3 linked regions of the Astyanax mexicanus genome follow. Each later gene encodes a partner of the first gene's protein in a complex. Links are inferred from orthologs where the notes say so. Each region holds a gene or a part of one and is shown in the gene's direction. Other genes may lie near its edges.

The links.
Region 2: smarca2 (region 1) and dpf3 share a complex: the UniProt entries of both Homo sapiens proteins name them as parts of the BAF complex. The link is inferred for Astyanax mexicanus from reciprocal best matches to the Homo sapiens genes SMARCA2 and DPF3.
Region 3: smarca2 (region 1) and phf10 share a complex: the UniProt entries of both Homo sapiens proteins name them as parts of the neural progenitors-specific chromatin remodeling complex. The link is inferred for Astyanax mexicanus from reciprocal best matches to the Homo sapiens genes SMARCA2 and PHF10.

The regions. Positions count from the first base shown.
Region 1 is NC_064429.1:18,435,471-18,439,696, reverse strand, and holds the start of smarca2 (probable global transcription activator SNF2L2), read left to right. Parts: upstream 1-2,002; 5' UTR 2,003-2,093; exon of another isoform or gene 2,094-2,128; intron 2,129-4,226. UniProt on the Homo sapiens protein: ATPase involved in transcriptional activation and repression of select genes by chromatin remodeling (alteration of DNA-nucleosome topology).
Region 2 is NC_064408.1:78,431,605-78,435,830, forward strand, and holds the start of dpf3 (zinc finger protein DPF3), read left to right. Parts: upstream 1-1,311; 5' UTR 1,312-1,385; coding exon 1,386-1,405; intron 1,406-2,093; coding exon 2,094-2,174; intron 2,175-4,226. UniProt on the Homo sapiens protein: Belongs to the neuron-specific chromatin remodeling complex (nBAF complex).
Region 3 is NC_064414.1:17,701,351-17,705,576, forward strand, and holds the start of phf10 (PHD finger protein 10), read left to right. Parts: upstream 1-1,362; 5' UTR 1,363-1,450; coding exon 1,451-1,486; intron 1,487-4,226. UniProt on the Homo sapiens protein: Involved in transcription activity regulation by chromatin remodeling. Belongs to the neural progenitors-specific chromatin remodeling complex (npBAF complex) and is required for the proliferation of neural progenitors.

The DNA.
Region 1 (4,226 bases):
ACACCTCGGAGTCCTGTATTTAAACATGTGGCCGGAGTGAACCTGCTAAAGGAAACAAGCGTAAGGACATAATCTGTCATTCCACCACTGGCCTTACAATCAACATGCCCGTCTCACCTGATAGCATCGGCCAGGTGTCCTTTACACACATCTCACAACACACACTCTCTCTCTCTCTCACACACACACTCTCTCACATTGCCAGGCAAATTACTGTATGTTTTGGAAAGATATGTTGGTAAACACTTGATGAGAGTACTGGGAAAATATGTCAGATCAGCAAACAGGCACTAAGCATGTATTTGAACTAACAGCAAGTCTATTCATTTATTTATTTATATATTTAGGGCTATTTTTAACATATCATTATCACTAGTTACTGGTTTTCTTGAGTAATATTGCTGTATTCATAAAGTCCTATATGTTGTCATCTGATTTTTTTTTTCAACAAATTTAGATTTGTAAATTAAGCTATTTTGGCTTTTTCTTATTCGTGCTTGATTTATATCATTTTGCACATTTAAACAGCATTATAAAAACTGGATTTCCATAACTGACCATATCAGCATCTTACAACATACATAAACAGGCCATCAGTTCACAGCAGCAGCAGCTGTATTGCTGTACAGATGTGTAGGTCTCTGTCTCCCCCGTGCGGCTGAGACGCGCTACTGCAGCTCAGCGCATTTATAAGAGTCAGCTCACTGACTGACTTTAACTTCAGGCCTCTTGCTTTAATTAGTTAATTAGTGTGGGACATACAGATCTGAAAAAATTCACGAGACCACTTCAGTTTCTGAATCAGTTTCTCTGATTTTGCTATTTATAGGTATATGTTTGAGTAAAATGAACATTGTTGTTTGATTCTATAAACTACGGACAATATTTCTCCCAAATTCCAAATAAAAATATTGTCATTTACAGCATTTATTTGCAGAAAATGAGAAATGGATGAAATAACAAACAAGATGCAGAGCTTTCAGACCTTAAATGATGCAAAGAAAACAAGTTTATGTTCATAAACTTTACACTGCATCTATCAGACTTCCCATATTATATATTATATTACACACTATATATATATATATATATATATATATATATATATATATATATATATATATATATATATACGTATATATATATACGTGTATATATATATATATATATATATATATATATATATATATATATATATATATATATATATACGTATATATATATACGTATATATATATATATATATACGTATATATATATACGTATATATATATATATATATATATATATATACACGTATATATATATATATATATATATATATATATATATATATATATATATATATATTATACAGCATTCTGCCCCTTGTACTCCCCAATCAACTCATTCCTTACCTGCACTTACTCATAGTTATTCTGTTACCTACTGGACTATTTCCTCATTTCCACACACACACACTCTAGATATCTTTTAATCACAGTTTTCATGCATCTTGGCATGTTCTCCTCCACCAGTCTTACACACTGCTTTTGGAAAACTTTATGACAGCTTATGTTCAGCTTGGTTTGATGGCTTGTGATCATCCATCTTCCTCTTTATTATATTCCAGAGGTTTTCAATTAGGTAAAATCAAAGAAATTCATAATTTTTAAGTGGTATATATATATACTTGAATTTGACTATAAAAGCTAAAATACAAAATAATACGCATATGAGGATTATTTTGTATATGTATGAGGACTTTTTTATATTTTAGCATTTATAATGAGTCAAGTTCAAGTTCAACAGCACTCCCACTCCCACCCTCACACACCCTCACACCCTCACACACACACACACTCCAGTAGCGCCACGGTTCCAGCACGTTCGGCGCAGCATAGTGAAAGTGATCACTAAGCCCCGCCACAAAAATACAGGACCGCTTGATTGACGTCCGCCTCGACCAATCAGGCTGCAAAGCGGGTAATATTTCGGCTCGTATCGACCAATCAAAAACGAGCCTTCGCTTAACTTGAAGATGTCAGCGAAAAAAACACAGAGGGGGAGGGGATCCACTAATGGCAGTCATATTTTGAAGGCGAAATAATGCTGTAGGTCCAAAATATCGATTTGTGTCGCCTGTAAGGTAACCGAGTCTTATACTGTTTACCTTAAAAATGTGAATAAATACTGGTTAGTTGGAATAGGGGTCAGGTTTGGGGCTGTGGAGAGGTCTCGGGGGCTGTTAGGGCTCGCTGTGGCATAGCTTAGATAACTGTACAGACGGGGCTAGCTGGCTAACCTGCTAGCATGCTGCTAACAAGCTGGGTACTTCTGGTGTATAGGTAATATAGCGCTAGCTGCGAGCGGGCGGCTGGCTGGCTGTAGACGGGTATCTAGGCTTGCTAGCCCAGCCTTCTTACCTGAGCTGCGCGTCGGCGAGAAGTTTGAGAAGAATACAGACTAATAGTTAGCTGGGATAAATAGTTATTTAGCTCACTCGCTGACTGACAGCAAGCAGTAACTGAACGCAGCCCTGTTTCAGGCTCTTCTGCTGCAGACAGAACTGTCATGGCGAAGTCTCAGAAACTTTTCTCTGCCAGATTTAACGGAACTGCAACGGCGCTGCTGTCCCAAAATAACAACTTCAGGCTAATAGTCTGCTCCTTACTGAGCTGAAACTTAATTACTGCTGAAAAATATATTTAAAAAATCTAATTTAGTCACGTATGTCTCACAAAGTTTCCCTGATTTTTGGTTATTTGCAGAGGTGACAGTTCAAATATGGCAAATTCAGGTCAATACAGTAAAAATCCACCGCAGGTTTTCCTTCCAACCGCCCGGGCTGCTCACTGTCTCCGCTGCAGCCGGTCCGCCCAGTCAGCTGAAACGAAATACCGGAGTGGACTTTTACTTTTTGAACTGAATTTTCCTAATTTGTTTATTTGAGGCCACACACCTTAGGCCTGTAACTACAGCGTATCTACTGCTTTACGATAATTTAGATTCAAATATAGATTCAGAAATAAAATCCTGTGCTGGATTTTTACTTTTTTTGACCTGAATATGTCATATTTGTTTATTTGAAGCCTATAGAGTTTATCTACTGCCTATATAAGGTAATTTATATGCAGAAATAAATTACTGTGGTAAATGTGTACTTTTTGACTTGGATATGCCACTGTTGATACATTATCATGGAAAAAATGAGAGACCACTTCAGTTTCTGAATCAGTTTCTCTGATTTAGCTATATATATATATATATATATATATATATATATATATATATATATATATATATATATAGCAAATTCCTAATTAAAAAATATTGTCATTTAGAGCATTTATTTGCAGAAAAGGAAAAATGGCTGAAATAACAGAAAAACATGCAGAGCTTTCAGACCTCAAATAATGCAAAGAAAACAAGTTCATATTCATAAAGTTATACGAGTTCAGATATCAACATTAAGTGGAATAACCCTGGTTATCCTCTTGTCCTTTTGATTATATTAAATATTATTTTCAATTTGGTAAAATCAAAGAAACTCATCATTTTTAATTGGTTTCTTATTTTTTCAGAGCTGTATATTTATTTATATGCTATGTTTAAGACCACAATGTAAAGCTAGGTCTCTATAGGTTATTACACTGCTCTAGAAATTTAGATAGATGTTTTAATTTTTTGTTAGAATAGACCACTTTTATAATATAGAATTTAGTTGTTATGCCTAAATTGTAGGAACATAATTTTTTTTATTAATATTTTATCAATTGCTTTGAATAATAATTATTTTACTTTAATGTTATGGTTAGGGCAATAAAAACTGATTTGTATTTAGTATTATTTTTGATTTCATTTAAATAGAATACAGACTTGAAATACTCGTAGAAAATAAGATGAAGAATATAGCACACAGCCCACACAAAGTTACCTAAGGTAGCTTGGGGGGAATCGCTATGCACTGATGGTGAGTGTCAGAATTTGGGGGACAAACCCAGTATGCAAATAGATTGTGCCAAAAGCCAATAAAAAAAGCTGCCAGTGGCAACAGACTAAACTTCAACTCTAAGATTCAGCTCTGTCTCAAAATCTCCATTTAAACATATATGTGCCCACAAAACCTAATTTAAAATAGTTGAATGATGTTTGAAATATCCAATTTTACATAAAACAGACCTAATTTGTTTAAGTTCAAACTAATTGTGGGTTTTCTGTGTATTGCTTTAGGAAAATTCTGATTC
Region 2 (4,226 bases), on another chromosome or scaffold:
CATATGTAATGAGAGGCACTGAGGTAAGAACAGCTACAAGCTCACACGTCCAGCCCGCTGACCATGAAGAAACATGGATAAGGCACGTCTGAGCATTAGCGAACTTAGTTAGCTACATTGAATAGGATAGATAGGTTAGCTAGTCAGTCAGCTAGCCTGCTAGCACCTAAACGACTACCACGTAGCTAGTGGTAGTACACGTGGCAGCCCATGTTTTTTAGCTTGGTTCCACAGATTCCGCACACTTTAAGCCTCACTTTAACTCTTTAACTCGCTGTTTTATTCCCGAGTGTGACTGTTTTCCACCAAACAACTTCTTCACCCGCTCACATAAACAAACACACACGGGTATTGTACTTCCTGCCTCGGACAGCGGCGTTTCCTCGTGTGGCTCAGCGAACACCCCGCCTACTAAGCGCTTATTGGTTGTTTCACCAAAAATATGTATAATTTAATCACGGGATTGGATATCTGAGATGTCAATCACAGCAGAGGACGGTGTAAAAGGGCCACAGACCGTTGGTAAAAAACAAAAGATTAAGTCGTTTATTTTCCAAAAAAATATGAAATGAGTTGATGGATAAGTTAATATAAGAGATATCATGTATGCACCAAAAAAACATGAAAAAAAAAAAAAAAATATATATATATATATATCTAGAGAGAGAATTTAATATATTCTTAAATTGATTTAATTATTTTTGTTTGTTTTAAAAATATGTAATGAAGTGTCTGCTGATAAGTTCAATCAAATGTTATTTTTTATTAATCTAATTATTTATCTCTTAAGTTGACAGTTTTAAGGTAGTCTGTTCACTTTATTGTAAATTATTTTAGTTTGTTTTAATTAAATCTTTTTTTTTTGTTTGTTTGTGTTTTAATCTATCTTGCATATCAATCACCCACTCAGTCAGCTTTCACACGGAAAAAAAAAATTAGGGAAACCCTCTTTTTAATGCATTTTTAATGCAGGGACTGATAAACAAATCAATAAAAAATATGGCATTTAAAAAAAATAAGATTTAAATAAAAATTATTAAAAATAAAATGATAAGTGAACAGGCTAACTTAAAGCAGTCAAATTAAGGGATACATAATTAGATTAATACAAAATAACATGCTTGACCATATCATGATACATTTTATCACATTTCTGTGAAACAAACAAAAAACATCTAATCAATTTAAGTATATTTTACATTATATTTATACGAACACATATAATATAGCTATATAAATGTATGTGCTTTTGTTACAGTTTTGACATATTTAAGCCACGCCCCTATCTTAAATTATTTTATTGTATTGGGCGTATCTGCTGATTCTTTTTCATAAGGGTCCCAAAGACGTCTGAGATTTTGAATACTGGGCTACAGCGTGGCAGGATGGCGACTCTCACTCGGACGTAAGTAATAAAATACAAAATGTATTTTATCGTTTTTTAAACGTTTGTATTTTAGTTAGGAGCGTATTATCTCCAGTTATTATCGTCCTGCCTGCGGTGGACAACGCCGTTTCCTCGTGTGGCTCAGCGAACGTCCCGCCTACTTAGCGTTAATTGGTTGGTTCACCAAAATATGTATCATTCCATCATACGATTGGTTTTGTGCGATGTCAATCACAGCATTGAACGGGACGAGAGGGACAATAACACGGAGCGCTTTTATATGTTGTAATTTACCTGTCGTGGACAGAGAGTAAAGACTATAGGTTAACTAACTTAATGTTAAATAAATTGATGCGGTAATGAAAACCTTTTTTAAAATAAAAAGGCAAACATGCATGAAAAATATGAACATTCAGCATATATACCGTGCAACATATGCATAAATATATGACTATATACCAGCAGACACTGCACTTCTCTAACTATATTTCTGTAAAAATATCGGGATATCTGATCAAAACGAGCTAAAAGGCGTTAAAAAATAAAGCGTGTATAAAAATATCACGTATCTGGAACGTAAAGATGTATGGGTTTTTGTTAGGGTTTTGACAGCTTCCCTAAGCCACGCCCACGTCTTAAATCCCTTTATTGTATTGGCCAAACTGCTGGACACTGAGGTCCGTATTGGTTGTTTTTTTTTCATAAGGGTCCCAAAGAAGTCTGAGATTTTGAATATTGGGTTACAGTGTGGCAAAATGGCGACTGTCATTCAGAATCCACTAAAAGCGTAAGTAGTAAAATGGATATATACATTTATGTATGTGTTGTGGTTTTGTAAATATGTGTGTGTGTGTGTTTCGGCGGGGGCGTGTGTATCGCAGTTACAGAGCCCGGTTATTGAGCTGCTGCTGAAGGAGCGGGTTTTTATCCCGCAGATTCGGAGCTGATGTTTGATTTGAGGGTCTGTGAGATGTGAGCAGTCTGCGCGCTGCTGCCCAGCACTAGTTTCAGTCTTCGTGTGAGTGTGAGTGTGCTTATGTGCTGCATGGTGATGTGCAGGTCGGTTAGACAGGGGGTTGATTGTAAGTTCCAGGATTTCTTACCTGCGTGTTTCTGCACTTCTTCTTCTTCTTCATTACAGCAGCGCTGTGACTGTAGTTAACTAGTTACTGGTCCTGTCTCACAGCCCGGCCGCCGTTCCTCATCAGCGGGTGTAGAATAAGTGAGATGTAGTAACAGAGGTGACCGGGAGCTCGTTTACTGGTCGCTCTATACAGCTCTGGAAAAAAATAAGATTGCACTTCAGTTTCTGAATCAGTTTCTCTGATTTTGCTATTTATAGATTTATGTTTGAGTAAAATGAACATTGTTGTTTTATTCTATAAACTGCGGACAGCATTTCTCCCAAATTCCAAAAAAAATATTGTCATTTAGAGCATTTATTTGCAAAAAATGAGAAATGGCCGAAACAACAAAAAAGATGCAGAGCTTTCAGATCTTAAATAATGCAAAGGAAACAAGTTCATATTTATAACGTTTTAAGAGTTCAGAAATCAATATTAGCTGGAACAACCCTGGTTTTTAATGACATTTTTATGCATCTTGGCATGTTCTCCTCCACCAGTCTTACACACTGCTTTTGGATAACTTTATGCCACTCCTGATGCAAAAAATCAAGCAGTTCAGCTTGGTTTGATGGCTTGTGATCATCTATCTTTCTCTTGATTATATTCCAGGTTATCAATTTGATAAAATCAAAGAAATTCATCCTTTTTCAGTGGTCCCTTATTTTCTTCCAGGGCTGTGTGTGTACAGTGTTGGTGTTTAAAGTTGTAGGAGGACGTGGGGAATGTTCTCAGGTCTGATATTAGTCCTGCTCTGATCAATGACATTTTTTTACAGGCTGAAAAACAGCCAAAAAGTATTTTTTATAAAGTGTTATATTAGTATAGTGGTATATCTTTATATAGTGTTATATTATTTTGGCTGAGTGAAACCTCAGTGGACTCAAGTGAGATAAACTAGCGTTAACCTGCACACAGTGGGAGTATCATACAAATATATTCATATTTGCAAAAGTTGAAAAGTAATTCAGTAACTGTTAATCACTGAACTGCATGATACTCTATTTAAAACTTGATCAAATAAAATGTGTGTACTAATGTGTGTAATAATTAAGTAATGTTGAAAAAGTAAGCAACTAAGCCATGGGTTAAGTGGCATTAAAAACGTATAGGATTTATATAAATAAATGCACTGAAACTGCATAAACTCTGAATAAAAGACAGGAAAACCCTAAAATAGAACTTAGGGGGAGTTACACATAATTAGAATAACTTTGTTAAATAATACATACCTAACTGCATATTTATATATTGGTATAAATGAAAATGTGTATGTTTCTGCAGTGTGAAGTTAAATACACCACATAGCAGTATCATGATTTCTGTTGTTGTCTGCAGAATGTATCCAGTATTACACTGGACTGCAGAAAATATAATTCACTAAAATGATTTATTATTAATCACTGAACCACATGGCTCCCTATAAAAAGTGTAAAATATCATGTGAGGTGCCTGTGGGTTAAACAACATATAAAACTATCCTTAGATCCCCTCAGGTTCCTCATGAGTTTTAACAGCCTACACCATTTAATTTAGTAAACTGCTCTTGGGTTCATTTTAAAATACTAATTCCAGGCTGTTTACCTTTTAATTAATGATTACACTGATTTTAATTTAGGTTGAATCTTAAAGAAATATATTTCTTAAGTAAACCATGTTGATCTGCCATGCTTTACAATGAACTCCTTGCCCAGTGTTATAGTGATTCTGTACAG
Region 3 (4,226 bases), on another chromosome or scaffold:
ACATTTAAACTAGCTAACTAATACACACATATAACCTAGCTAACTAACACACATATAACCTAGCTAACTAACACACACGCATTTAACTTGCTAACACACATATAACCTAGCTAACTAACCCACACATAAAAGTTAACTTAGCTAGCAAACGAACACACATAACCTAGCTAACTAACACACATTTAAACTAGCTAACTAATACACACATAACCTAGTTAACTTAACCAGTTAACTAACACACACATAACCTAGTTAACTTAGCCAGTTAACTAACACACACATAACCTAGCTAACTTAACCAGTTAACTAACACACACATAACCTAGTTAACTTAGCCAGTTAACTAACACACACATAACCTAGTTAACTTAGCCAGTTAACTAACACACACATAACCTAGTTAACTTAGCCAGTTAACTAACACACATATAACCTAGCTAACTTAGACAGTTAACTAACACAAACATAACCTAGTTAACTTAGCCAGTTAACTAACACACACATAACCTAGTTAACTTAGCCAGTTAACTAACACACACATAACCTAGCTAACTTAGCTGGCTAACGCTAACTACACACACAACTTAGCTAACTTAGCTAGCTAACACATATCCTAAAGCTGGTTAACAACCCACAAAGAGTCCTCCTCTGATCCGGGGGTAAAATCAGCTGGAAAAGATCTCAATATCTTGATTACTAGTTTATTTTCAATCAAATACAGAAATATGAAAGCAGCAGAGTTTCTCTTAATCCTCCTCCAGCAGCAGCAGCAGCAGCAGCAGCACAGCAGAGAATTTACGGTGAATTTACACTGCTCCGACGCGACAACGCACAGCGACGGATCCCATTCATTTTCAATGGGAAGCGCCGCCTCCGTCAGACGCAGTCGCGCGGTGCATCATGGGTCCGACGCGTCGAGAGCGGGGGATGCGATGCGATGAAAAGTTGAGCCGAGCTGAACTTTATGCAAATGAGTCCGTCCAACGCAATGCGTCTATCCAATCAGAGAGCAGGTGTTGGCCTGTAACGCGTCCTCAGCGCAGCGCATGAAAACATTTTAGTTCCGCTTTCAAGCGTCCAGAGAAGCCTGGAAGAGAAGTTTCAGGCTTCCCTGTTCTTTATAAAATCCCTGCTGATTCACAGGGACTCTGTCAGCGAGGAGAAAGGCTGCTGTGATTGTTGGAGTCTCTGGTGGGTTTTTAAAATATTAATATGTAATTTAATTGGAAAAGTTTGCTTTTTTCAGCTTATATACTGCTCACTAGACAGTGTAATGAAGCTCATTCAAACATTTATATCTATAAAGACACATTTATATTTATTAAGTATTGGAAATAATAATATCTTATATAAAATGCATTTCCCATTTATTAAAACGATTTAATTGGACGACGCAGGGAAAGCCTTTGTCACGCCCACATGCGACCGGTTGGAGGGGGGTAGTGCGACCATGTGCGTTTTCGCGTCGGAGCAGTGTAAATTCACCGTTACACGAAGGACCTGGAGAGCTGCGTCTGCTGTGAAATTACCGTAATTACCCTAATAGTGCGCAGTTAAATAAATCTCTGTGAGACTGCAAACGCTGAAGATACACTTTTATAAGGCTGAAACCTAGTATTAAAGCAATGATTGTTACATTATTACAGTCTTACAGTCATTCTTAGAGTCTTAGATGCCTTCTGGAGAACTTTCATCAATGTCTTCTATGCAATAATATCACGTTATAATGTTGTTTTTTTCTTCCAAAAATGATGGTTAAGCAGAGTAATACACAAAGTAGTATTTTACTATATGTTGCTAATATTTGGAAGGAACTGAGGATAATAAGGTAATTAAGGTTACCACTACTACAAATGGTGTCACTTGCTTAATTCAAATATGCCTTCAATTAATATGCATTTAACTCAAATATGCCTGATTTAGATCTATAGTTTTCTATAGTTAATGTTGATTTGAGCAGTAATTAATGAATAGTTATTATAAAGGAGACATAATTAGTAAGTAGTTCTCCAGGAGATATGTAAGTCTCAGTAATTATTGTGGAGTTAATAGTGAACTACTATAATCATTAGTTCAGTACTATCTACTGAGTAATTATTCAGTACTCCCTGGTAGTTAATAGAAAATATTTAGATGTTAATGCAGCACTATTAACTAGTTACTGCTTAGTTCCTGCTTAGTTACCTATTAACTATGGAACAGTATTATAAAGTGTTACCGCAGGAATGTATAAACAAACACATTTGACAACAGCAATCATCACATAATTATTAGTGGGACATTCCAGGATTTTGGTACATTTCAGGGGTGGTCACTTCTGAAAAATTGATCTTCAATTTGATCAATTTTAGTCATATATTTATTAAATTAAATACAGGTAAAAGACTATCTGTAACACCAGACAGATAGGGGTGATGCCAGATACAGCCAGATAACAGATCGAACAGAACTCACAGGAGACGTAGTTGTGAGAACAGTCCAAGATCCGAAGCCAGAGAGACAGTCTGATAATACAACAAATCCGATAAGGGCAAAGACAAAAGGCAAAATCTGTAATACAGGAAAAAGGGTCATAACAAAAGGGCAGACAGAAAAATGTTTGGAAAAATGCTCAGTACGCAACATGAGTCGACAATACCTCGCAAAGAACATCAGCTAACAGAACCCTATATATACAAAACCTAGAATTACTATGAACCGGAACAACTTAGAACACAGGTGACTCTGAACGGGGGAGTGTAATGCGATTGGATGAAGGTGAGCGGCTGACAGTGACGTCATCACCAATGGGTTCATGGGAAATGGAGTTCGGGAGTGTGAAAGGAGAGCCTAGAGACGTGACACTATCAAAAAGTTAGATTCGTCAAGCTCAGGTATCAAAGCAGTTTTTAAATGAGATTATGCAATATATTTGGTAACTTACAGTAACAGGGTTGCGAGTAACAGGGTTGCAAATCTTGTGGTTTACCCCAGGAACAGATGCTAACTGTAAAATGTAGCTATGTATACAAGATCAAGGACAAACATGGTTATATAAGTATATAAAGAAAAATTTGACTCTACTCATTATTAGTCTTACAATATGAGTAACAGGGTTGCGTTCACACACAACTTGGACAAACATATTTGGAAAAAAAAAAGCTTGAAAATTGTTAGAGCACTTACTCTTGATCTTGCCCATAGACTGTGTATAGCTGGACAGAGCATCGTCTCTCAAAAGTGAAGCCACCACAGGTCGAGCGCCCCTGCTGTTTGGTTTCAGAAAGCTGTGTAACACCACCCATCCCCATGTAATTCTACCTCCATTATTTAAATGCAGCAGCTAGTGTAACCTCTGCTTATATTGTCAAATTTTTATATCCCCACAGAATTCATTTTTTAAAACGTTATTCAGCTCTATTCAAGAAGGTGTGGTTATTGTAAAAGGGCTGGCTATGGGCGGGGCCAATAACAGACCGTCAGCTCTGCTCCGCTCTACAGCCTGTGACCGCGAGGCAGCCCTCAGGGGCGGGGTTATTTAAATGAGCAGGCTGTCTCTCCACAGTCTTTCTCCCTCCTCTGGTCTCTACTGCGCAGAATCGGGTGTCAGGATCGCCAACATGGCGGAAGATTTTGGCTTCATTTTCATTGAATGAATGGGAACGGCGACACTTATAACAAGTACATTTTACACCAAAAATTTTGGGTATGTACATTTGAAATTTAAGTGGTGGGACAGGAAATGTACCAAAATCCTGGAATGTCCCTAATAAGAGACACTGTGCAATTCCATGTCCTGATTTATCAACACAGCAAATGGAAAAAAAAGAACTAACAATTTTGGTTATTTTGTCAGAATAACAAATATGACTTTAAAATATGTGCTTATTATTATATTCTATTCTATTTCTACTTATGTTGATCTAAATGACATCAACACAGTAGCACAGATAGCACCTTCTATCTAGAAGACTTATAGCAGTAAAGAATAACCCTTGTAAACTTACTCCATTTCATGTGTTTGAACATAACTAAACTGAGCACAGTCAAGAAAGAAACATTAGGCCCAATTTTATTCATCTTTAGGGCGTGTCAGTGTGTTTTTGCTATCGCAACAACGGCAAAAGTACACCTTGTGCAGCTCAAAACCCAGCGCCTGTGTGCGTCTTTAATAAGAGGGGATTTAAGCATGTTGGGCAAGCGCCAATAAATTTACTGCCAAGATAGCAATGAACGTCTAGGTGTTG